2 linked regions of the Neodiprion lecontei genome follow. Each later gene encodes a partner of the first gene's protein in a complex. Links are inferred from orthologs where the notes say so. Each region holds a gene or a part of one and is shown on either strand. Other genes may lie near its edges.

Region 1 (13,340 bases):
TGATGAAAAACTGAAAGATTCTAGATCTATTTGTATTGGTGTGAAAAAACAAACCCTGTGCCCGTAGTATTGCAGACTTTCCTCTGCCCGCAGTGCCGGCGCCTTTGCCACCGGGTCTTTTGAACATCGGGGCATTTTTCAACATATCCGGTAATATAAGGAACCTTATTTTTGAGCCCCTAATGTAAACGTTCTCTAGCTGGCCTACGCGTCCATCGCGATAAGTGACGGTCAGGTTTTGCATTTGACAGTTCATGTTGTCTTCGGCTTCTATTAACTTTCCGCGGTAAACCTCGCCGGTGTTAGTTTCACAGGTTATAGTGTGACCTTCGGCTTCGTGAAGTACTTTAATTGGCACCCCGATCGACATTTTGACACTTATGTTCCGATAATCGACACTAAAATCTCACTAGCTCACGAAAAAACTGGCGATTGAAACGGATTTATACCCGTGTGAAGTCTGTGTCGTTGCATCAACGTTTGTCGACGGACGCCAGCCACTTTCGTTTCGTTTACGAAAATGGCCGGAGAGTTACTTAGTTCGAATTTTGGCCACTTGGCTTATCGTCGGCATCATGGGTCGGCATCACGGCTTACTTTAGAGCATATAATATACTATACATGCTCCAATACCCGTATTCAGCCCCCTGACACTCACCACTGCTCGTATACTAAAAAATTGTACGCGTTTTGTCCCCGTTTTTTAATTTCTCTACGTGGATACACTTCAGATGCGTATTTTACTAATTTACGGAGTGTGTTTATAAAACGGAGGCTTATAGGTTATGATTGCCGCCCTTTTTTTTTACATTTTATAGCGGAAATTTCACTTTTTTCCGTAAGAGGCGCTCAAATCGCATTTAGACAATTCCACTTACGGTACCTTAAAACTGGGGACAAGTTTTATCGCAGAGTGTTGTCTCCTTCCTACTACTCCGTGAAGGAATCCTTGTTCCTCAAGGAAGGAATATGAATACGGGTGTAAGAGTAATCCCACTCAAGTGGCATCGGAACCGTTGTATATGGAGGATTACAAAGAAATGAAATGTTTCGTTGATCAAACGGACCTCGTTTCTTTCGCTGGTAGATAGCGCTGCAGTCGCACAAGGTCAACACTTTCGGACTTTAGAGCATATAGGATTAGGCATGAATATATATGAGTAGGTTTTATGTGTACGTAGCTGCATTTTTTCGAAAACCCTATGATAGCTTGATCTCTGGCAAAGAATTCGTTCTTGTCCATCTCTGTCTAACCCTCCGTGTCACCAAAGTTCCCAAAAGTTGTTAGTCCAATCAATTGCAATCAACTTTGCCACCATCTTGTGCCAAGTCTTGAGCAAGTTCATCAGCATCCGATTGGCCAAGCTCAGCCATTTTGTGGCGAAAACAGCACCAAGAGCGGTTTGGACACACATCTATTTTGGCCGTGTTCGAAAATTGACTGACAGTACTGTCAGCAATCTTTTATCTCTTTTGCGCTACCAAGTTCGTGGATAGCTCTGACTCTGTCCTAGGGAATTTTCAGTACTGTCAGTCAATTTACGAACACAGCCTTTTTACATACATCCCCGTTGACATCAGTCGATGTCAGCGATTTCAGCGGCTATAAACTAGCTTTAAAATCAGGGCTTCTTCTACCGCGTAGATATTTAGGTATTTAAATACCAATTTCAGACTTGTATACCCTGTATACAAAGACCTCGCTTAAGGCTCAGTCTCACAGAGCACGGTGCGGCAACACAGATCCAGCAACCAATAAGATTGCAGGTTTTTGGAAGCGCGAATTCCGCTGCGCCAAGAACGAATGCATGCCGCGTCGCGGCTTGTGAGACTGAGCCCTTAGGCGTTAGTGATTTAAATTAATTCTTGGAGCACGTCGCACGTTAACTGAAGATGATGTATTGCGTACACTTATGCTCTAATCGTGAAATGCATGTTAGCCGAAAATAATTTCGGAGAAATTTCGGGAAATGAAGCTATGGCTGAATTTTTTAAATCCGATTTTTATATCCGCAATATAAAATAAAGTTTTTATTGAAAATTATATTACGTGGGATGAATATGCGTAGGTATATTTATACGTTTCACAAATTGTTTTACCTTTGCCGTTGGTTCATCACATGCGTGCGTACCATTTGTTTGCCTGATTTGTAATTATCTACATACCTATAACATTTTTCCAACAAAATCCTATCTAATTTACAACAAGGGACATTTACACTTTAAAATCCACTAGAATTCTCGGCTAGATATTTTTTTTATCTGTAATAAATTAAACAATACAATTGAAGTGTGTTTTGCCCGATTTGTGATTACCTACATACAATATTTTTCCAACGAAATCCTATCTAATTTTTAACAGGGAACATTTAGCAATTTAAAATTGACCACAACTATCAGCCGGATATTTTTTTCTTTCCTTATTTAATTAAACATATTGTGTTTGCAGGATTTGTAATTACCTACACACAATATTTTTCCAATGAAATCCTATCTAATTCGTAACAGGGAACATTTAGTAGTTTAAAATTGATTACAACTATCAGCCGGATATTTTTTTTTCTTAATAAATTAAACATATTGAACTCAACATTGCAGGAAAATTCTAAAAATTGTTGATTGATGTTAATAGAAGTGTGAAAAACAATTAATAATTAACATGTAGCTCACTCTTCAGAAAAAGACAAGAGCCATAAAATGAACCTATCTTACAGCGATTGGATTGAATTGTAAGAGAAGATAATTTACAATTTATTGGCCAGGTCCGGATAATGACTTGTCCATAAACTTCTTCTTGGCGAAACACAGCCACCATTTGCTGGGCTTTCCATCTTCTCCATAAACCTTTTCTACGACTCTAATGCCAGTTTCCTGGCGCAACTGTTGTAAATATTGCCTCATTAAATCTGAAAAAAACCATTACAACATTTAGAATATAATTCATATTTGTGTTACACTTGAAGTAATGGTAGCAATTTGTGAAAAAATTAGGAAAATGTGTTTGATTTTGTTATTCAATGGTCTTACCAGCATCAGACGCAGTATTTGGCTTAGCATAAACAGAGTTTAATGGGAAACCGGCTTCTCCTGGAATATCAAATTTGGAAATAGCCAAGGTGTACATCTCATTGGTTGCCTGATTTTTGTTTGCACATTTCTGTAATTTCTTCAAGCATTCAGTGATGTACAAAGTGATGTAAATTAAGACTCGGTCAGCTTCGCTCTGTAGAATATTTAAGGGCGAAGAAGTGGTAGTAATATAAGTGTACAGTACATACATTACTTAATGTAACTATACAAATTAAAAAATTACCTTAATTTCGTAGGTTCGAAAGAAAACATTTGCTTTAAAGAAATACAAAGCTTCGTCTATTATATCTAATTCTTTGTTACTGAATGACGGTGCTGGTCCTCGAAACTGGGTTTTGAACGGTAGCAATGCCATGTTGCCAACCGTTTGGTTATTTTCTAAAAAACTTGAATGATATGCCTGAAATTTTATGCAAAATTGGTATGATAATGTGAAAGTGAGAAAGTCTATCAATAGTAGAAAAGCAAAACACGTCAGAATTTATTGACACGGTAATAGCATGTTGACAGTTAAATTAGGTTAGGTAAAATTATAGTCCGTGATTTACTTCAAGAGTAAATCTGAAGTGATCTTTGACTATCAACATCTCGTTAGTAGGTCGATTGGATCAAGGTCAACGACACTGTTAAATTGTGACCCCGTGTTATGATTCATGATATCAAAGGGATACACCCATTTGACAGCTCCTGAATGCGGAAAACCAAATCGACAATTTCAAGACAGAAATAAGTCTTGTATTACTAATTTGAGTAAATTGAAAAGGATAGACTCACAGGCATGTTTGACAGATACTTTTTCGTAGATTGATTATCTTCTTAAACATGAAATTAAACGCCGCAAGGGTGGAGAAATTATTACAGGCAAACTATAATCTGGTGGGGTCTGGCCAGATATCGCTATATCATGTATGTCAGTAGTGGAGTTATACTGTCGCAATACGTATAAAACCGTAAAAGTCACACATGCGCAGAATGCCTCTACCAATCTTGCTGAAAGTCACGTGACTATCACACATGTGCATTAGGGTGTTCGTTGAAAGAAATATGCTTAGCTGCCCGCAGCACTCCGCTGGTGGCCGCGAGTCGAATCTTTGGAAAAAGCTGAAACTCCAATTCAAATTTGATTGCAATGACCAGAAAATAATTGACGTTCTACAATTATCAACGCATCTCGTAAAAAACGAATACGGCATTGTAGTTTACGTGATTTCAATGCTAAGTTTACAAATAATATTGTTTTCCACATGTGTTGGAGCACGTCAATTATTTATTTTACATTTGAATCAAATTCGAATCAGAGTTCGTTGACTGAAGATATACCTATATCACGTATACATATATATATATATATATATCTGAAGTGACAAGAATCTGTACAAAATGGATACCGTTCAATTGGCGTGACGGCACCACGCGTGTATATATATATCAGTGGTGCGAACTGGCGGCAGCGTCGAAAAACAAAAAATGCACCGTAAGCGTATTTCCCCCACCACGCAACTTTTGATGAGTTTCAAGACCTGTATGTAAGACCGTGCTTATGGCAACGCTAATGAAGTGGTGTACTAAAATTGCAAATGCGTAAGAAAATATACTCAAACATTGACGTATCAAAAGACACAGAGGACGATAGATAATCTACGATAAGCATATATTTGTTGCAATTTTAATATTCATGATAATAAACAACAGTTTATTGGAAACTAGATCTACTTTGATTTTTAAAAAAATCCAATTGTGCAGGTTTTCGCGCCATACGGGTGGCCGACATGAGAGAAGATCATAAAATCGCATATAAATTGAGTATTGCGTGGGATATACGGTTACGATAATGACATTTAAAATATTCTACGCATCATTAATGGTACGTTTTAATATAATCCAATAATACGATAACCTTTGTTCAAATACGATATCTTACGTCCCTGGAATAATCGGCGCCATCTTTAGGACTTGGAAATAGCCAAAAGAAAGAAGAACTAGAAGAAGTATAAACGCATTCCATGCTGACAGTTGTGGATGGACTGAGGGTGATCGAGGGTTAACAATCGTTAACAAGATAGTTGTGGGTTAATCACCGGTTGTACAATATCTAATAAAATGGCAGCGACGGAGTTGAAGAAAGAAGAGGTCCGACAGGCTGTTGTTCTAGCAGATGACTTCTCCACAAATTTACATCCCATGCAGACGCTCTACCCAAGTGCGTTGATGCCGGTTTTTCATATTCCACTTTTGGAATACCTGACAGAAACTTTAGTGAGGAACGATATACAGGAGTTATTTTTGTACTGCAGTAACCACGTTGAATCTTTGAGATCGTACGTACAAAGTCAAAATTACAAGGGTCTTATCAATGTACATTTAATCGTCTCTGATGGCTGCCGTTCGCTTGGCGATGCTCTCCGAGACATCGACAGCAAAGGTATCATTCGCGGCGACTTCATCCTGATCAGAGGCGACGCTTTCACCAATGCCAATCTAAAGAGGCTTCTCGACTGGCATCGATTTAAGTCAAAACAAGACAAAGGCGCTGCGATGACGCTGATATTCCGTGATTTAGGATCTAACAATTTTCCGGTGAAAGAAAACAAAACTTGTCTAATTGCCGCTGATAACTCGAATAACAAAGTTTTGTTTCATCAAAAACTCTCAGAGAAAGACAGAAAAGTCAAATTGGAATTACAGTTGTTCTTGGATCACGATTGTGTCCGAATACACAGCGGTTTACTGGAAACTCATATTTACCTTTGCTCAGCGTCGGTGCTTCCCTTGTTTTCTGACAATTTCGATTTTCAGGTAAGTTCTTTTCAGAATCACATAACTCTGCTGAAAAAGTTTGATGTGATACGCAAGCTTCTAATACGATATTATAGAATGGGTTTAGAAATACAATAGACTTGTCAGTTTGGATTGTGTTTTTGAACAAGGCTGAAGTTAGCGATGTCAACGTTACGAAACATTGAGGAAAAAGTAAATAAGTTGCAATTCCAGAATAACTTTGCAGGAATCAAGTGTTGAAAATATAATGTAACGATTTTTCTCGACATACATCGTTACAATGATACTAACGTCAAAATGTTACTCAATGATATTTTTACATCCTATTCTATGATTGTCATTAACACCTAATCGTGGTTTATTAAATTGTTTTGAAATTTTTAAACACCCTTCTAAACATTGGAATGAATTTACTATCAACTGAATGTCTTCAACATCATTTTCAGACCATGGAAGACTTTATCCGAGGAGTCTTAATCAACGAGGAAATTCTAGACTCTCGAATTTACTGGCAAAAATTAGATCCAGAAGAATACGCGCTGCCAGTCACATCTTGGAGGGATTACAATACTTTAATCAGAGACATACTTCAAAAACGTGGATATCCCCTAACCATTGAGATGATGCCAAGTTGTATGTATTTTCTGTACCTACGTAGATGTACGTATAAACACAACAGTTCGATTCTTGGGAAGGGCTGTACATTGGAACGGGATTGTGTGGTATGTCCAAACAGTAATGTGGGAGAAAACACACGCATCACAGGTTCTGTGATTGGAGAAGGCTGTAACTTGGGGAATAATGTGAGACTTGAAAATTCTTACTTGCTGGGTAAAGTGAGAATTGGGGATGATTGTATCGTTAAAAATTCAGTTTTATTCTCCGGCTGTGAGTTGGGTAATTCAGTTGAGATAGACGGCTGTATTTTGGGCCCGAAATTTAAGCTGAAATTGGAAAGTGTTCACACGGATTCCCTCATGCAAATTGATTCAAATGATTGTATCACTTACATCTCCATGAGCAAAGCTCATCCTGACACTGATCAAGAATTACCCTATTTCAAATACACATGTACAAACGAGTCCGACGATGATTCTGATGATCTTGAAGACTACAGTAGCAGCGATGAAGAATCGATTGCTGAGATGCCACTCACTGATGATACGCACATGTTTTTTACAGAAGTGATGGAGAGTTTGATGCGAGGATATCAGGACAAAGTCAAATGCGAGAATTTGATACTAGAAATTAATTCATCAAGATATGCTTACAATGTTACTATTCGCGAAGTTTCCTACAACGTAGTTAAAGCTGTATTAAGTTTACCAATGGAGTATCTCAGCAATTCTGGTTCAGAAATTTCGTCAAAAAGCTACCAGAAGACATTGAAACTGATGTTGGAGTATTTTGACATGGTTATATTGAACTATGTCAAATCATATGAAGCTCAGACAGATTGCTTGCGAGCTATTCAAGACACTGCTGCTACATTGGACACTGTATCTTCAATTCTGTTTGTGTTCAAAAATTTATACAATTGTGATATATTGTCAGAGGAAAAAATTCTTGAGTGGTACGAGCTCGATGATGAGGATAACGATGACGTTATGCAGAAACAGGTGAGACTGAAAATGAAAAAAGACATTCAACCGTTGGTTAGATGGCTACGCGAAGCTGAAGAAGACTCTAGCGACTAACCTGAAATTTGTCGAAGGAAATCATAATAAGGATGAATCAGTCAGTCAATCTGAATCAAAAGTGACGAAAAGAGAAAACAACTTTTTAAATAGTTTTCAACAATGTGAGTTGCTTCAATGATGCTCTAAACTCTAATGAAACCTCATCATCCCTACTGTGTAACAGAAATGAATTCGAGCAAATTTAAACAACACAGGCTAAGATATTCACAATTTTTCATGAATTTGAAGCGATTGAACTCCGATGTTTTGATCCGATTCTAATGTTTCTTGCAATTATTCTGCTCCTTGATTAGACCTCTATAAATTATCTAAAAAAAAATTCAAGATAGCTAACATTGTAGTATAGTTATAACGCACATGTGACATTGGTGACGAGCATCTGTTGTGCTTTTACTAAAAAATTTTGTTTTTTCCACTTCAGTGATGACAACTTTCTCTTCAATTTTTAATATTGAATATTGATCTATTGAAATTTACACAATTAATAGAGATGTGTTTCATTCGTGTTCACTATCATCGGCAAAAATATGATTATTGGAGATTTTCAAACAGTGTTTTTCTTTTTCTCTAACCTGCTTCATACGGTCTGGCCAATTCATTCTTGAGTAATTGTAAGATTCAACTTATATATGACAACTTTTATGCATGCATGGCACCGACGGAAAATATATTTTATAAATTTTACCTGTACAAACATCATCTAACAACACGGTAATGTTTGACCCTTTCTGTATTATATAAAGCATAATACAAATCGTGCAAGAAAAATGTATATTTGCGTAAATGTGTGTAAACCATTATATCGGACGTGTAAATAAATTGATCCAATAAAACTAGTTCCTTCTTAATGCTGAAGTTCAAATTCTGGGATTAGAATTATTCTGGAGTTTTATTTTTCAGTATACCTACTTGTAAGAAGCCGCCTAGTAATCGGAAAAATTGAATCGTATTAAAAAATATTCATTTTGATGTTTGTCGCCAAAATTTTCAAGGAAACTTATTGCATGTACGAAAATTAATAAAAATGAATCGTTCTATTGTTTTGAATGTGAGTTTACTGATTCAGTTACTTCCCATTTTGTTGCGTTTGAATTGTAACATAACTTCAATTCGATCCAATCTGTACATACAATTTCCTTTCTATCCATTTCTATTAGATTTTATCGTACAAATTTAAATTTACTCCGTATAAAATTTAATACGTGTTAAATATTAGCGTTTTGATCGTTTTCTATTTGATTTCTTGACTTTTAAATCCAGTTCAAATCCGTGACGAAAGGTCCGTAATATTATCGCGGATTAGTTTGAAATGATTTTCACATCACGGAATACATTATTTTTTTTTTCGGAATTTCGAATTGGCAGACACAGATATTCAGATACCGTTCAATCTGTTATTTTTTTTTTTTACAGAGTATGAAGTATTTGTAACTTTTAGTCTTATTACTAATAATTGTAAGCGTGGCTTGAATACATAGAGAATGTACTACAGTCTCATTTTTTAAAATAAATTACTTTATTTCTTGACCATAGATGCGAATTTTTTAAATACAGAGCTTAGTTTAACTTCAATAATTGTTTTATTTATCGTCTATTATAGTCGTGATAAAGCGTGATGTGAGCTGTTGCTGGTTGATTTATGTTTTATAATATAGATATAATAATAGGTATAATACGTGATTGTCTGTGATAAAATGACGCGTTATATCATCAATATTATGTATATAATCTGCGTATTACGTAGCATACTGCGTAATTCTCTAAACTATTTATTGTTATTAGCGAATTAACTAAGCGATTTAGCTAGATTTAATTTTCATATGATTCGTTTATCACTGGACGCTCGTCTCATTGTACATTTTTTATGAGGAAAAACAGCGCTTATAATATTATTATTGTATGTATTTATGCATATTGGGGTGGCCATTATTTCGCTTTTGGGCATTTCTTTTCGCGCTCCCCCCGAAAACGTAATCAAGGTGTGCAAAAAAAAAAAAAAAAAATGCGTTTCAAGTTTGCAGGTGCTCGGATAATTTAATACCCATGCCATCGAGCAGTAGACGTTGTAAATGAAAAATAGATGTATTTTCTCGATGTCAATACGCACCATACTTCTTACACATATCGCGTGTCTAATGGCATAAAGTTGTAACGACCAAAAATGCGATTTTAATAGGAAAAGGGCGTATAACTTTTTTCTTTTCACCATTCGCTCTTAAAATAATCAAAACGTATAATTCAATTGAAATCAAGCATTTGAAAATATAAAGGCAAATGGTCGTATGTTCAGCAGATACAACTTTTTTCCACTAATAAGTATACACGAAAAAAAAGGTCAGAACAAAAGGTCGCAGCCATCTTAAAGAAAATAAAAAAAAAAAAAAACCACTAGATCCCACAGATGAATCAAAATCTGCAACAATTCAGAAATCTTTAAAAAATTTTTAATCCTCGACAATAAAAACAAAAAGTTAAACAGTGAGCATGTCAATTTTCTGAACATCGATTATCCGAATCATCAATTACCGGAATGACAGGAATAACAAAATAATAATTTTTGGCAGTTACGCCTTTATGCAATTACCGTAGTAGATAATTTTTTCAAATTTTACCAGAACCTAACGGTCGTATCTATCAGTACGTACGACCTTTCGCTTTTAGTTGATGAATTAATACTTGAGCCTGAGAAAAGTGAAAAAATTTATTTTCAGCAGATGCAATCTTAAGGAACTAGTCGTCTTACAATTAGTCAACATTTTTATGGTTGAATCTAGAAGCTCGTATCTATCAGGACACACGACCTTCCTTTTGATCATTATTAAATTTTAATTCAATTTCAACGTTTCTGACCATATTTTAATGCTTTAAGCTTGGATACGATGAAAAAAAAAATTATACGCCCCTTTGCCTTTTTCAGCCACAAAAGGTCGTCAGAGAGCGTTTTGCGACCTTATGCTATTAGACATGCAGTATAATATCGGTGAAAAGAATTTTTAACTTGGCACACTATGAGATATGAAATCCTATTTTTGTAGATTTTTTGAGCCGTGATCAAAAAATTTGAAAAATTAAAAATACCCATCTGTATTATCTTTGTAATGTTTGTAAGTAGAAAGATTACCAAATTTTCGACTTTTACGATTGGTATTATGTGTGCAATATATATTCAAGGATTGGTATCGAAAACATGTATACATTTTTCAGCTAAAATTTTAATCGCTCGACGGCACGGGTTAAAATTATTTGAACGCTTTCAAACTTCACACACATTTTGATCACATTCTTAAGCGGTGACCGAAAAAGTTTTGCCAAAGCTGAAACAACGGCCACTCTAATGTGTACATTATACATAATAAATATATGTATCTAAGTATATATTTTCTTTCAACATGTTTCATTTTATATCTTGAACAGCTTAGATAAATCGATTTATGTGTAATAATATTTGTCATTGTTACAATGGCTGGAAGGAGACTTTAATGTCAACAATTTTCATCTATATAAGAGTATCAAACCACATAATTCAATGTTGAGAATATGGGTCACAATTCAAACAATCCGAATCAGTCTGCCTGTGACTCACGTCCTTCATCATTTACTAAATTATGAGGCCTTTTTTCTTGCCTACAAATTCATCTTTTATGATCCAAAAAAATCACACTACAATCTAGCGAACTATTGAATTACTTTTTATTCGATTAGCATGTAAAGATTAATATTGCACTAAACTTTATCATCATTCAACTTGTTATAAATAAGAAATTGGCAATCCCTAGTTTCATTGACGTGACACAAAAATTTGAAAAAAATTCAATCAGATTTTGAGTTTATCACTTATTATATGCGCACCACGGTTTATACATTCGGCAAACATTTATACCTTATTAATTAATTATAATTTTTTTGTTTAATAGAAAATGCCCATCGCCAGTTTATTTACTAGAAACAGAGATCTTGAGTGACTTTGAATAAATCCTTCGATTTCAACTTGGTTGTTACAGATTCAGCATAAAGACTCATCTTGCATTGCAAAAATTTTACTTCACGTCAGTTGCAGAGTAAACAAATTACTTTGGCACGGAATGTAATTATACTCACGAGACTTACAATATTATATTGCGACATGTTTTCGCGATAACCTTATACTTGCGTATAGTGCACATCGTAACAAATTATTAGCTCACGATTTATAGTGACTACTCATTCTGTTGGGATGGGATCCTCTTGCAGACTGTGCCATGCTTGATGGCGATGGTCCGGGAATTTGATTGCGTCTATCCAATGTCTCAGACGCTCTCCTTTGCTGCTGCAGCTCAGTATGAGACCTCCTTTAAAGTAAAAACCGCGCATGCAAGTGGATTCACGCAAAATAACTCGATTATAGATTCTTCCTCTATCGAAAACAGTGAAAATATGTACAAGCAGCAATTTATACAGGTAAGTGTGTATCTTAGGATGATTCTTATTTGTCCAATGTTCGAATTTCAACTGTGCCCACCACTCCCATCATTTGTTTTGAAATAAAAAAACAAAAGTTTTGAGCCCAATATGAATATCCTAACTTGATTTTTACCATCCGCTGTAACGACGCAGTTTTCCATTTAAAATATACGTGATTTTTATCTTTTAATGTTATTATTTTACTGAAACAACTAATCATTAAGGAAAAATATTAATTTTGTATGGAATTGATGGAGATCGATTGTACTTTCAAGGGGGAAAATGAAGAAAAAATGTGTTGGCCATTCTAAGGCATTTTACCCTGCTTATTTCATTCTCAATGAATAAAATATGTACTTGTTTTGAAATAAAACAATTTTGCTTCGAATATGCATTACATCTCGGAAAAATTCTCGCCCCGAAAAATCTCATAGTTATAGTAAATTTTAAATAAATTATTCTGAGAAAGAAGCGGTTTTTTTCTCCCAACCATGCATTTTATGACAGATACATGTTTACGAATGCCATCTCCAAATTTTATCAATAAATTCGTGAAATTGATAGAGATACAGCGTTTTCTTTGAAATGGTTACTTGTTCGGTGAAAAAATTAGAGGGATCGCGGTGACAATTCCTTTCATCGGTACGAAGTGACATGCGCGAATGTTCTTTGAAGTCGTCAAATATCGCAATCCAAGTAATTTTTACTCCAAAAAAAATTTCACCCAAATAATTACCGTCACTCATGTAAATCGAACATGTTTTTTCCGTGTGTTAGATTTTATCCAATACTGAACTTATTGGTGTAAGGATCTCAATTGCGAGATAGAATAAGAAAGAGAGATGTACCGATATCAATAAAAATAAAGTAATGTAAAATTAATCCATGTAGTGTACGATATTCTCTAATTACCCAGGTAATCGTTGCTCTTTCCGAGGTCCTTGTCCCAAACGGAGAGACACAACATCTGACTGGTGAGATCCGTGAGCCGTGTCTCGAAAGCGAACTCTTCGTTCCACTCTGGGTTTAGGGTCTTCCACTTGATTCCTGTATTGTAAATTGCGGAAGTTGGTTTTCGAGATTCCTTCTTTTTGTTGTACTGGACGTTGGAGAAGGACCCGCTCGTTTGCTGCGAGTTGTCTTCCGGCCGCTTTATCAGGTACAGCTTCACGAAGGGGTCAGAGAACCCGTTGCTGTCCATTGCCGGCAGATTCGCAGCGCGCAAAATGTTGACCAAGAGGGCGCGTCGGCGAGTGCTGTAGCTCAGGGTTACCAGAATTTGACCCCTTGGACTCAGATCCTCGCCCCAAACTTCCTCTTCGTGCTCCACCT
Region 2 (13,144 bases), on another chromosome or scaffold:
AATTAATTAATAATATAATAAATTGTACAAGATTATTCATAGCTACTGAATATGTGCTTGCACGAAAAATGAATTGAAATAATTTATTGTAAACGTGACAAGTTTGTAATATTTCAGATGAAATATAATTACAATTGCCATTAAATATTATAAGAATATTAATTAATTAATTAATAATATAATAAATTGTATAAGATTATTTATAGCTACTGAATATGTGCTTGCACGAAAAATGAATTGAAATAATTTATTGTAAACGTGACAAGTTTGTAATATTTCAGATGAAATATAATTACAATTGCCATCAAATATTATAAAAGTGTTTTACTCACCCAGCAACCTTATCCTGGAAGTCGAGAAATTTTATTAGCGGACTGACAGCTACCGAATTTGGGGTTGCGCGAAAAACGAATTGAAATAATTTATTGTAAACATGAACCAGGAACCACGGAGCGCTTATCCTGGAAGTCGAGAAATTTTATTAACGGACTGACAGCTACCGAATTTGGGGTTGCGCGAAAAACGAATTGAAATAATTTATTGTAAACATGAACCAGGAACCACGGAGCGCTTATTCTGGAAGTCGAGAAATTTTATTAGCGGACTGACAGCTACCGAATTTGGGGTTGCGCGAAAAACGAATTGAAATAATTTATTGTAAACATGAACCAGGAACCACGGAGCGCTTATCCTGGAAGTCGAGAAATTTTATTAGCGGACTGACAGCTACCGAAATTGGGGTTGCGCGAAAAACGAATTGAAATAATTTATTGTAAACATGAACCAGAAACCACGGAGCGCTTATCCTGGAAGTCGAGAAATTTTATTAGCGGACTGACAGCTACCGAATTTGGGGTTGCGCGAAAAACGAATTGAAATAATTTATTGTAAACATGAACCAGAAACCACGGAGCGCTTATCCTGGAAGTCGAGAAATTTTATTAGCGGACTGACAGCTACCGAATTTGGGGTTGCGCGAAAAACGAATTGAAATAATTTATTGTAAACATGAACCAGGAACCACGGAGCGCTTATCCTGGAAGTCGAGAAATTTTATTAGCGGACTGACAGCTACCGAATTTGGGGTTGCGCGAAAAACGAATTGAAATAATTTATTGTCAACATGAACCAGGAACCACGGAGCGCTTATCCTGGAAGTCGAGAAATTTTATTAGCGGACTGACAGCTACCGAATTTGGGGTTGCGCGAAAAACGAATTGAAATAATTTATTGTAAACATGAACCAGGAACCACGGAGCGCTTATCCTGGAAGTCGAGAAATTTTATTAGCGGACTGACAGCTACCGAATTTGGGGTTGCGCGAAAAACGAATTGAAATAATTTATTGTAAACATGAACCAGGAACCACGGAGCGCTAATCCTGGAAGTCGAGAAATTTTATTAGCGGACTGACAGCTACTGAATTTGGGGTTGCGCGAAAAACGAATTGAAATAATTTATTGTAAACATGAACCAGAAACTACGGAGCGCTTATCCTGGAAGTCGAGAAATTTTATTAGCGGACTGACAGCTACCGAATTTGGGGTTGCGCGAAAAACGAATTGAAATAATTTATTGTAAACATGAACCAGGAACCACGGAGCGCTTATCCTGGAAGTCGAGAAATTTTATTAGCGGACTGACAGCTACCGAATTTGGGGTTGCGCGAAAAACGAATTGAAATAATTTATTGTAAACATGAACCAGAAACCACGGAGCGCTTATCCTGGAAGTCGAGAAATTTTATTAGCGGACTGACAGCTACCGAATTTGGGGTTGCGCGAAAAACGAATTGAAATAATTTATTGTAAACATGAACCAGGAACCACGGAGCGCTTATTCTGGAAGTCGAGAAATTTTATTAGCGGACTGACAGCTACCGAATTTGGGGTTGCGCGAAAAACGAATTGAAATAATTTATTGTAAACATGAACCAGGAACCACGGAGCGCTTATCCTGGAAGTCGAGTTTCACCGCGTAGCGGACCCGAAGCGCGGGATCCGGGAGGTTGAGAACCCGGTACTCGAAATACGTAGCGGACCCGAAGCGCGGGATCCGGGAGGTTGAGAACCCGGTACTCGAAATTTGCGGAGCGCGACTCTCATCCGTCCGCTCTACTGCGCGGTTCGTTCCAGACTGAGGAATTCGACTAGCTGATTTTGAATTGGTGACGTCACTTTCTGAACGTCCGACATCCAAACTATGGTTTCGAACTTTGATACTATGTATGATGATGTATGATGTACGATGTATGATGTATGATGTATGATGTACGATGTACGATGTATGATGTATGATGATATGATATGATGAATAATGCTTTTAGTTTTCACGTTTCACACAAGAAATACACACTTCATCTCTCCTGCCGATTCCAGACTCAAGCGGCCAGGCCCTTCGATGGTCAGCCGTTGACTGAAGATATATTCTTCAGTGAACGGGTCGGCTAATAACGCTGCCGTTCTGCGACAGTTGGATGATGAAAAATTTTGCTCGTATCTTTCAAATGTGTGTTAAAATACACTCGAAGCGTTAAGAAGCCTCGTTCCTTTTTTTCCTGTCACCTTCTTAGGTCTTTAAATCACTACGCTGCGTTAAATACTGTCTCATGTACGGAGAATCCATTTCATCAATCAAAATTGGCGCATCCGTGATGTATTACAGTTACTCTGAATTTTTTTCCATCCGAACACTTTTCGAAAAACTATTCAGCTTCTCTACCCAACGTAGATACTTCACTTGCGACTAGCTAAAACAGCGTTTCGATTCTATGCCTACGAAAATCCAAGATCGAGAGAGCAAATGAAAAGTTGTCGGAATATTTATGAATATTTATGTTATGGAATACATCGGAATATTAATGTTATGGAATACGTCGTGCGCGTGTCGAATAGAATCTCAGTTCGAAATGAATAATTCTTCTATTTTCATATCATAGACGTATTATTGTAGTTAATGTAGTTTGTCTCCTGGAAAATTATCAAATTCACAGTATGCATCACGTATTAATCATAAATGGATCATATATATATGTCGAAGTAAAGCCTCGGAAAGGCGGAGAAGATGTAAAGTGTTCATTCTGGCGTGGATCATTCATATTTGAGCGTGACGATCCCGAACACGTCCGGTATGCTCGCTAGCTAACCCGTGACTGTCGATTTCGTCTATGCGTTGTTATCAACAAACCATTTGTTTATTGCTAAGATTCCGTCATTCAGCTATACTCGTAGCTTGCTAATAACGCTTGATGCTTGATACGGTGGACTCATCGAGAGTTTAATTTCAAATGAAATATCGTTTTATTCTTAAAGACTAAATACATTTTAAAATGGAATTATTAAACAAGATTTGTGATACTCCGACATATATTAATATCGTACATGGACCGCATATACAGATATACTTTTTGGTCTCTGCATCATTACGTATACGTTCTTTCTGCGGGTATCTATACTTCAATTAAATCACTGTTTTGCTACAAATTTTTGAAGCTATTTATTCTTATTGTTAATTTCTTGTATCGCCGACAAGTCGGTAACGCTGCAAGTCGGTACGTACACACAGGCTAAGTACTGGCTTGGGCTTAACCATTGCCAAGACTGTGTTACTCGGAAGGTGAATACAGCCAGCATCGTGTCTAAATCGACAACTCTGATGTTCTGCAATAAGTTCTCAACTTACTGTCGTTGGAACATCTCAGGGGGCGCAAGCGCACGACGATTTTCGGTTGTCACACCAAAGCCCATAAAGGCAACTGAAGGCAACTGTCTTTATATTCTTCAGTCAACGTCCAAGGTCTAGTAGCGTCGACGCCTGTGAAAGTGGGCAAACATATGCGCAAAGTCTTCGTCATAACCGTAAAAATTTCATACTCCCAAAAAGTCACGAATTTGTTTTGACGTGTATCGTTAACCAAGGTAAGATGCCACTATAATCTAATTTCACCTCTACATAAAATGTTAATTTCTTTATCCAAACTTATAAAATTCAAATACAATTTGTCGCGCGATAGGTTAGAAATTATTTGCAATATAATGCAATAGTAATTTTCGTCACAGCACGTGTTACGTTGACCGAAAGTTGCTCAACAATCTTCAGTCCATTTAATTGTCTTTTTTGTGAGATACTTGTGTCTATTTTCGAGGCCAATTATCTCTTGTTTCTCATTTTCAAACCAGTTAGCTCTTACAACAAGTTTTGATATTTCTATATCGTTTTCATAGACGGGCACTATTTGTATCCAAGTCTGACCATTGATAAAGTGACGATGGAGCAGCAGGTATACAATAGCTTACAGTAGAGTAAGCAGGGTGTCTAGCGGTCAGGGTAAATTTGCAAATAGAAGTTTGTATCATTTATAGAATTTCACAGTTTTGTATTTACATCATGTAATTATCAATTCTCGGTTTCTCAATACGATATGATTGAGCTGTTTCATTTGCTGCATGTTATTTCATTGATTGTGATCAAATAGCCCTTCAAACTGGATTACCTTTTAAAATCCGGCAGCTTTTCTGATTCAAATTACATGCGAACTCAAATAACAAAAACAAAAAACACATCAGCGCCTATAGTAAAATACAATAATTATATGGTGAGCCTCCTCAGTCACACGACTACAAATCTTCTGCACAAATCATCCATACCAAAATGCACATTTCCAAATGCATACAAGTTACACATCCATTCCACATTGTATGATCGACATACTTGAGCAGTATAAAAGACGGCATTTTTATTCAGTCTAATTGGGTTCTGTAAGATCTGAAAATTTCAGAGAATTTGGCATTACTCAACTGCTAGACATGCTGTGAATTTTCTCATTAATCTAAAGTTTGGCTTGCAGCTCCGATTTATAACCTAACTGCATTATTTCAATCTTGTAGAGTTGCAAGCCTAAGTCTTCAACGTAATACTATTTTCTTTGAATGCTGTAATTAATCGCAATTGCATATTCAGATTCATGCTGTGCATAATAACATAGAGCGAAACATTCCATTTCTTTTGTCTATTGCAACATGTTACAAAAGTTTTTTGCATTGTGCAGACATATTGCAAATTTGTGCTTGGCGTATGAAATTACCTACTTTGCTTCCTTGGTAAACAATCTACTATTATAGTGTCTTTGGCAATTTTTCCCCTCAAATCATTGTAATAATTCTACAGATTTATTTCAAAAAATTATTGATGACTTTGTTTTACTCTCCATTTTTAAATATTTTTCTTTCACCAACAATAAGCATTGGAACATCATATTCCACGTATCTGGTTTAGACAACAAAGATTAGGTGATGAGTTATTGTATTTACAATTGATGGCAAATTACCTGTAATAACACAATTTGTAGTAGTACAATACAATTAATAATAAAAAATTTTGCTTCGCTCCACTCTAATATGCAGAGTATGATGTAACAGGGTTTTCATGGTTTATCTGCAGCTCATGTATATCTCATAACCGCTTTTTTATTAATATTATGGACATTTTTGTCACCAGACCAATTCTGAAGAAAATAATTTATATTGAACCCGATTTAAAAATCCGTAAAATTACATGTGTAAGGGTGAAAGTATTAAGAATTTTATGTTTATATAATATGAATATTACTCAGACATTTTTATATTTCTAAATTACGTGGCTCAAATTTAATGCTTCGTTGCGGAAATCTATTGAAGAATGTGGATTGATGGAGACACTGGGTCAGTTCAATTATAATTAATAAAATTCGTTAAGTTTAGTTTAATACCTATAATTCGACCTAACTATTTATCTTATGAAATAAAATTATCACAGTAGCTTTGAAGCCGTATTTGTTGAAAAACAATGTCACCCACAATTTTCATCAAATTTCTCGTTATAGCTTATGTATGAAGCCTGACTTACTTTCTGAACTTATATAGCCACGACCTTTTGAAAACCCAACTGTATTGGTAGAACAGATGTCATGCTCAGAATCCCTGATTGTGTTTTGGTCAACCAAATATGTTACAAAATTTTCCTTCAACTTGTTTAGTATGGCCCCTGTTGATGAAATTTTTTAATTTGATGGATTTGAGCGCGAATGTAAGATGTATATGAGTGTTTAACAAGCATCATTTTAAATACATCATCTTTCATATTTTTACATCAATTTTACTAAAATGTTACTATTTTGATCATTGGTTACTTTGTAGAATAGCACTAATCTTAAATATGTATTTTGCTTCCTCACAAAATTTCTGTGTCAGAAGGTGTGCTGTTATCTTATATGTTATCTATAAGTAAGTAAAGGTTCAATATCCTCAGGCTACTTATTTGTTTACTCTAATGCAATTTTTAGTCAACTGAAGAAGCAAAACAACGGGTCAGTCGCTCCAAAGCAAGACATTTACGTCGTAAGCGTCTTATTGCTGCACGTAAATCAGCAAATGATAGCTCATCGCTAAGTCACTTAGATACAGAACAAAATATCATCATAGAGGGAACTGATGTACTTACCAAATCAAAAGCCAAAAGGTTACGAAAAAAAAAGAAAGCCAAGTTAGCCAAGGATCCAAGTCAGGCACTGCAAACTGACAAGGATACGCTTGAATCTAAAATAGAATCCGAATTATCAATCAATAATCTATCCTTGAGTGATGTCTCGGAGTATGAGAAGTTTAATCAAAGTGCGGTGACAAATTATAACAAACCTAATTTCTTGCCTTCTGAATTAAAAAAACAAGCGTCAAAAGCCGTCCTTGATGATGCATGTAAGAGCACTTCTAGAGGGAGCAGTACACCATCAATCTACGAAAAAACTTGTACTTCAAACACTGTCTCAAATGATCAGAGCTTGAATAAAAAACAAAATATAAATAAGTCTGAGAGTCCTGGCGATTGGCATATTCGTGGCCATTGTCAAAATCCGCCACATTCAGACTTTGAAATTTCACCTGAAGGTGAGTTGGTTGATGATAATCCAGGAAGCAGTATAACGTTGAACCTTAACGAAAACAATAAAAATTCTGAGCTTAATAACGAATTATTTCAATCTTGTTTGAAAAATGATATCTATTCCAGATCTTGTGATAATAATCAGATTTTGCGGAAAAGTGAATCATTATCCTTTAACAAAAATTTGGGTATTGTTTGATTAATAAATAGTGTCAAGCTTGCAAATTACTATACAACTGCATCAAGTAGAAGTCATGACAATGTTAAAAGAGGTGAACAAAATCCAGAATCTCAGCTCAGTGAGACAAACGATAGCAAAGTAGAAAGTGATTTATGTAATTGTGACCTAAAGCAAGTAACTCAAGTAATAATAATTTATTGAACAATGATTTATATTTGAATAAACTGCTAAATTGATTGGAAATGAAAGAAATTTTATTATCAACATCTCGAACTGCCATTTTGTGTTGCAAACAAATGCAAAAGTACCAAACTTAACGGCTTCTTCCAATACTCATCCGAAAAGTGTAATGATTCGCTTAACTGTAAAACTGAAAAGCAAATATTAGTCCAGATTTAATGTCCTGTATGAGTTCAAATTGCGGTTGAGATCACAAAGTTTTTCCTGTTCAAGAACAAATAATTTCGAACAAAGAAATTCAAAACAATAATAAAAGTCAGAGGGCAACAATTCCATAACATTTAACGTATTTGGATTATTTAACCTTAACTAACACTAAGAAATCTGACGGTCACTTTTCAATTAACTTAATCCAAGACTGTGATATACCATGTTTAAGTACTGATAAAAGTATTTTATGCGTAAATAAAAAATAAAAATAAAAAAAAAACCTTATAGGGCACAGTGACGTCAGTATTGATCTAGCCAATGGTCAAATTTCTGTAAAGTCGGAAGGAAAAATAAATCTGATGATGGAAAAATCTAGAGAACAAGTCAAGGCAGAACGCGAAGCTAAGAAAGCAGCAAAGGCTTTGGCTAAGAGTAAAGCAAAAACGCCGAAAACCAAGCAAACAATTGATGTTAAAAACAGCCAGGATACACAAACTAAGATTGTTCCTGCTGATGCTATTGAAAAAGGTGTGAAAGAATTTGTTGTTGATAAAGATGCTGTACCACCTAAAGAAATACTCAAAAGAACAGAGAGTGAAATAGTCTCCAGTGCAAGTGATAAAAAAAATGAATTAGTAACTAAAGCGACTGGTGAAAAATGTAAACGAGAGGCCCGAGCTGAGCGTAGAGCTAAACAAGAGGCTCAAAGAGCTGCCAAAGAAATGCAGATGGCACCAAAAAATAAGCAAAAGACAGTTGAACCTCCCAAATTAAAAGCCTCACATGATTTATTGGAGCCTGTTAAGAATATTGTGAAAAAAAACCAGTCAGATAGTCACCTACATGAAGTGAAACTTTTTAAACATTTGTATCGTGAAAGGCAATCGCCGTTAGTGAATGTTCCTACACTGAACTCTAGTATACACCCTGCACTAATTAGACTAGGAGTCCAGTATGCGAACAAAATAATCGTTGGGAGTAACGCAAGATGTGTCGCGTTGTTGTCTGCGATTAAACAGCTCATCGATGATTTTGAACGACCTCCACAAGTCGATTTTACGAGAGGCTTAGAAGCTAGCTTACAAGAAAGTGCAGCTTACTTACACCGTTGTAGACCAATAGCAGTTTCTATGCAAAATGCTTTGAAACATCTCAAGTGGCAAATGAGTCAATTATCAACAACCATCTCAGATGAGGACGTAAGAGTTTGTTCTAAATATTTCAGTTCATCTGTTCACGTATCGATTATGTTTTTCATGTAGAAAAATTTCAGGCTAAAACAAAATTGCAAGATGCTATTGATACGTATATTAGAGAACAAATTGAACTTGCTGGAAAAGCAATTTCAGACACCATAAAATCGAAGATATCCAATGGTGATGTTATCTTGACTTATGCATTGTAAGTTTTTATAAATTACTTTCTTGCATAAAGCTTTTTCTTTTCGTTTATGTCATACTTCAAAGAATCTTTGGTTGAGCCTAATTTTTTGGACTATAAATCTTTAAACGCAAAAAGAACTTAAATTCAAGTTTTTTTGCAGCTTTACGGATACCGATTGACAAAAGAATAAATACTTGTAATTGCGTTTGTTGCAAAAGAGTTTTACTATATGAGTAATTCAATGATCTTGTATTAACACACACCAAATGTAATTAGATTTTATGAATATAAAACGCGATGAAAGAACATGGACTACTTATCCAGAACTTGGGAATAGTACTGACCAAACTAGTAAGTTAAATGAATAAAATCGATAAAATAATGCATTAATCGTACTGCTTTTTAGTTCATCTCTAATTCACAACATACTAGTTGAAGCACATAAGGATCGTAAACAGTTCAGAGTTATTATAGTCGACGGTAGGCCTTGGTTGGAGGGAAAAGAACAAATGAGGCGACTTGTGAGACATGGGATCGAATGTTCCTACGTATTAATCAACGCGCTTAGTTTCATTATGCCTGAGGTAAGTTACTGTCTCTACCATTGCATTTAAGCTCGATATAATGAGACACTTGACTTTTGCATCTAATTTTTTTGGATCCAAAGTATCATTAATCAATTAGGCAACAAGTGTAAGGGAGAAATATATGAATTTTAATCGAAAAATAACTTACGACATATTTCTAAAAGCCTCAAATGTTATAAATTTCTGTAACATTATATAGCTTATGTAAGAAATAGCATGATTCACCTGGTATGTGTAACCATTATTATAGGTCAGTAAAGTATTTTTGGGAGCACATGCAATTCTGGCAAATGGTGCTGTGATGTCGAGAGCAGGCACAGCGCAAGTCGCTCTCATGGCAAAGGCATTCAACGTGCCCGTCTTAGTTGCCTGTGAAACGCACAAGTCGTGCGAGCGTGTTCAAACAGATTCTTTTGTCTACAATGAAATTGGTGAATATAATTCTTAAAGGCACTACAAACTTGTTATAACATATGTCACTCCCGAAAGATTGAAATATGTTCATCCTGTGTGGAATATTTTTTATTCAGCAACCTCTAGATCTAATTAAGAGCAATGATATTTCTACAGTAATTGAAATTTCTAATATTGCATGTTGTTTGTTATTTCAGGTGATGCAGATGAACTAGCTTACCATTGGTCAAACAATGCCAAGAAATCTGTGCTTACCAATTGGAAAACAAAGAAATCTTTGGATCTGCTGAATATAACATTTGATGTTACCCCCGCTGACTTGGTATCAGCAGTAGTTACTGAATTAGCGATCCTACCTTGTACTAGTATTCCAGTTATACTCCGAATCAAACCATCCGAAATTTAAGTTTATATTTATGCAGTACTGTTTTTACTTCAAACCAACATTACTGTTATCATGAACCTTAATTATGATGTAAACTTAGTCTTGCAATCAGTTGAACTGTTCATATTTATGAAATTAAATGTATTAAAATGTACATTGTTTTGAATACTTTCGAATAAATGTTTTCTAAAATCAAATGTTCCTAGTACTGGTATTGCAGGGGCCGTTTTGCAGCCAACTTCTAGTTTAGCGGAATCTGCAAGAGCGGAACCAGAAAAATTTGTTAGTAATCCTGTAAGGCAACCTTTCCCAACCTGAGGTTCGCCGACTCATCTCAATGTCAAACTCTTAACCCAAATATATACTTATTATCTTACGTCATAGGGGTCCGCAGTTGTGAAAAGTTGGAAAAGGCTGCTGTAAGGCAACAGCGGCTCAAGAATACCCTGCAGATCGAAATATCTCAAACTATAAACCATAAAACATTCATAAATTCCAATTTCCGGAACTACAATATTAACTTAACTTTTATTATGACTACTACCTCTGTAAATTTTTGGGAAATTTCTTACAAAAAATTTGTAAACACAAAAGCAAGAGTACACATAGTAGTAGGTGCAACGAGATGTGTCAAATGAGGAAAAATATACATCTCAGATAGATTTTTTTTTCAAGATTTAAGCATAGCAAATAAAAGCTTGCGGTTTCGTCAATTTCAACTAATCCCACTACCATCTGTTTCAAACACTGTCTGTATAATGTAAAGTAGAACTAGCAACCTTTATTTGTTGTTAACTATACCTAGGACGGTATTGACTTAGTTTTCGAGATGTCATTATCAATTACCCAATCGCAAGCCTTAATTGGTTTCATGAATTCCAGATTTGCTAATTGTAAGTCAATTTACATGGACAAATGGCTTTAAATAGAACCTTCAACACAAATTATCTTAGTGTACAGACACTACAGGCAGCGAATTAATATACTGAAAAGAAAAGATTCAGCATGATTTAAGATGAGATTAAGGAAGGGTGATGATATACAAATGTCACTCATGTATATTAGTTTTTTTTAAATTTATTTATACAATAAAATTGTCAGATGGTCTAAGTTATTTTTTCTGTGCTGCAGCTGCTTCGTCTTCACGCTGGTAGGACTGCAGGAGTTCTTGTTTCTTAGTGGCAATGCGCTCAGCCCTGCGTTTACGTGCTTCCCGAACCTTTGTACGGCGAGCCTCAGCTTGGTCGGACAACATTTTGGTCCTAGCCTTTTCAGCCTTTTTCTTGTGGATAAATTCCATAAGAACACGCTTGTTTTTGAAGACGTTACCTTTAGCCTTCATGTACAACGAATGGTACAAATGGCGATCAATTTTCTTCGCCTCACGGTACTTTTTCAGCAAGCGCCGAAGGACTCTCATACGTTGAATCCATAAATCCTATCCAACAAACAACATTAATTTAGTCTACTAAACAAGACCTTAATGCAATATTTGTGTTGTTTCTTTCAGCTTTAGTAATAGTTAAGGCGCTGATACGTTTCGACGAAGGATATGAGAGAAATCATATGTATAATTCATGTCCTCAACAATTATTACAAGAGGTCGGTAATAATGTTTGATCGTAATTTTTGATTGGATCTATAAAGTCTTATTGAAAATTGCAATATGCTTTAACAACATGTTGATCTGATGTGTAACTTCTCATGTGAAACCCGTTAGTTTCCAAAAAGGTAATTCAGTATCGAAAATTTGATGAGGGTGTTCCGTTTCTTTACATTCATATTTTGTATAGGTTCATCTTTGTAAATAGGTAGAATAAAATACTGTGCAGTCTATAATGTGTAGGTACTTTGGTAGGTATAGAAAAAAAGTATGAAAATAACCTTTTTGCCGGGCGACTAAGTCTCAAAATCGATTTCTGCGAACTCTTCGCACTTCGTTCAGCAGTATTTCCATTTTTAATCGCGGGAAAGTTGGAAGTTTTGAGATCAACGTACTCGTTCCAAACAACAATCACTTTGTTTGAAAAGAAAAAATATCCCCAAGCCAGATTTTTGGGTTTGGAAATATGAACAAGTCAGGAGAGGTCAATTCTGGAGGATAGGGTATAGGATGAGCGATAATACAAACCCACAATTCATGCAGTTTGACCATTGCAATAGTTGGCTTCCGTCAAATGAAGGGGTCAACAAGTATGTTGAAGGGCTCGACATTTACTTTTTTTACCAAAAAATTCAAAAATTGGAACACTGCTAGACCAAGTGTGTGGAGCTCAAAGCAAACAATGTTGGGAAATACACGAGACTTTTTCTGAACACGAGTAATCAGGGTGGCCACTCAATTCCGCTCACGGAATTCCCTGACATTTCCCGGTTTTCCCTGACTAAAATCATTATTTTTCCCTAACATTTTGATGCACAATTTGTGCAGAAATCGCTAAAAACTATAGTAACCTAGGTAAATTATGGCCAAATATATTAAAGTTATAAAAGTTTTTAAAAGTTGTTCATTCCGTTCATTATGATTTTTGAAAGTTGACAAAAAAATGAAAATTTCCATTTGCTTGGTCTTGTTAAGTATATATTTAAGAAGGGGCTCCAAGAAGCGAAATATTTTTAGAGCTATTATTTGAACATTTATGCTGTTTGCAATGAAAATCGAGGTTCGAAGAATTATGACTAATTAACGAATGTGTAACTTTTTGAAAAATAAACTTAAAAATTTTTTTCCAACGGGACATTTTTCTTTTAAGCGTTAAGAATACGCCACAATTTATCCAAATTTTTAAATTGATATTTAATACAGCAAAACAATTATTTTATGCAGTATACTGTCTAGACGCGGTGTGTCTATGCCGTAACAGTTGCGCAGAGCCCTATGTTCAGCAT

Evidence for each region.
Region 2: the proteins of translation initiation factor eIF-2B subunit epsilon (region 1) and translation initiation factor eIF-2B subunit delta are in contact, whole or in part, in a cryo-EM structure (PDB 7D46), measured with the Homo sapiens proteins. The link is inferred for Neodiprion lecontei from reciprocal best matches to the Homo sapiens genes EIF2B5 and EIF2B4. Residues at the interface, in NP_003898.2 of Homo sapiens: Arg163, Lys294, Arg339, His340, Glu357; in NP_001029288.1 of Homo sapiens: Arg357, Tyr393, Pro396, Glu397, Lys466, Arg467, Glu469.

Annotation. Positions count from the first base shown.
Region 1 is NC_060261.1:15,630,491-15,643,830, forward strand, and holds translation initiation factor eIF-2B subunit epsilon, read left to right. Parts: upstream 1-4,553; 5' UTR 4,554-4,954; intron 4,955-5,040; 5' UTR 5,041-5,190; coding exon 5,191-5,886; intron 5,887-6,314; coding exon 6,315-7,565; 3' UTR 7,566-9,968; downstream 9,969-13,340. Other genes in the region: small nuclear ribonucleoprotein Sm D3, read right to left, coding at 55-370; actin-related protein 2/3 complex subunit 3, read right to left, coding at 2,752-2,906, 3,028-3,223, 3,314-3,490, 3,865-3,870; rabphilin-3A, read right to left, coding at 11,769-11,896, 12,921-13,338. UniProt on the Homo sapiens protein: Acts as a component of the translation initiation factor 2B (eIF2B) complex, which catalyzes the exchange of GDP for GTP on eukaryotic initiation factor 2 (eIF2) gamma subunit.
Region 2 is NC_060263.1:22,847,027-22,860,170, forward strand, and holds translation initiation factor eIF-2B subunit delta, read left to right. Parts: upstream 1-3,758; 5' UTR 3,759-3,917; intron 3,918-4,223; 5' UTR 4,224-4,267; coding exon 4,268-4,279; intron 4,280-6,319; coding exon 6,320-6,920; intron 6,921-7,774; coding exon 7,775-8,685; intron 8,686-8,759; coding exon 8,760-8,887; intron 8,888-9,275; coding exon 9,276-9,453; intron 9,454-9,706; coding exon 9,707-9,887; intron 9,888-10,067; coding exon 10,068-10,276; 3' UTR 10,277-10,452; downstream 10,453-13,144. Other genes in the region: 60S ribosomal protein L19, read right to left, coding at 11,367-11,693. UniProt on the Homo sapiens protein: Acts as a component of the translation initiation factor 2B (eIF2B) complex, which catalyzes the exchange of GDP for GTP on eukaryotic initiation factor 2 (eIF2) gamma subunit.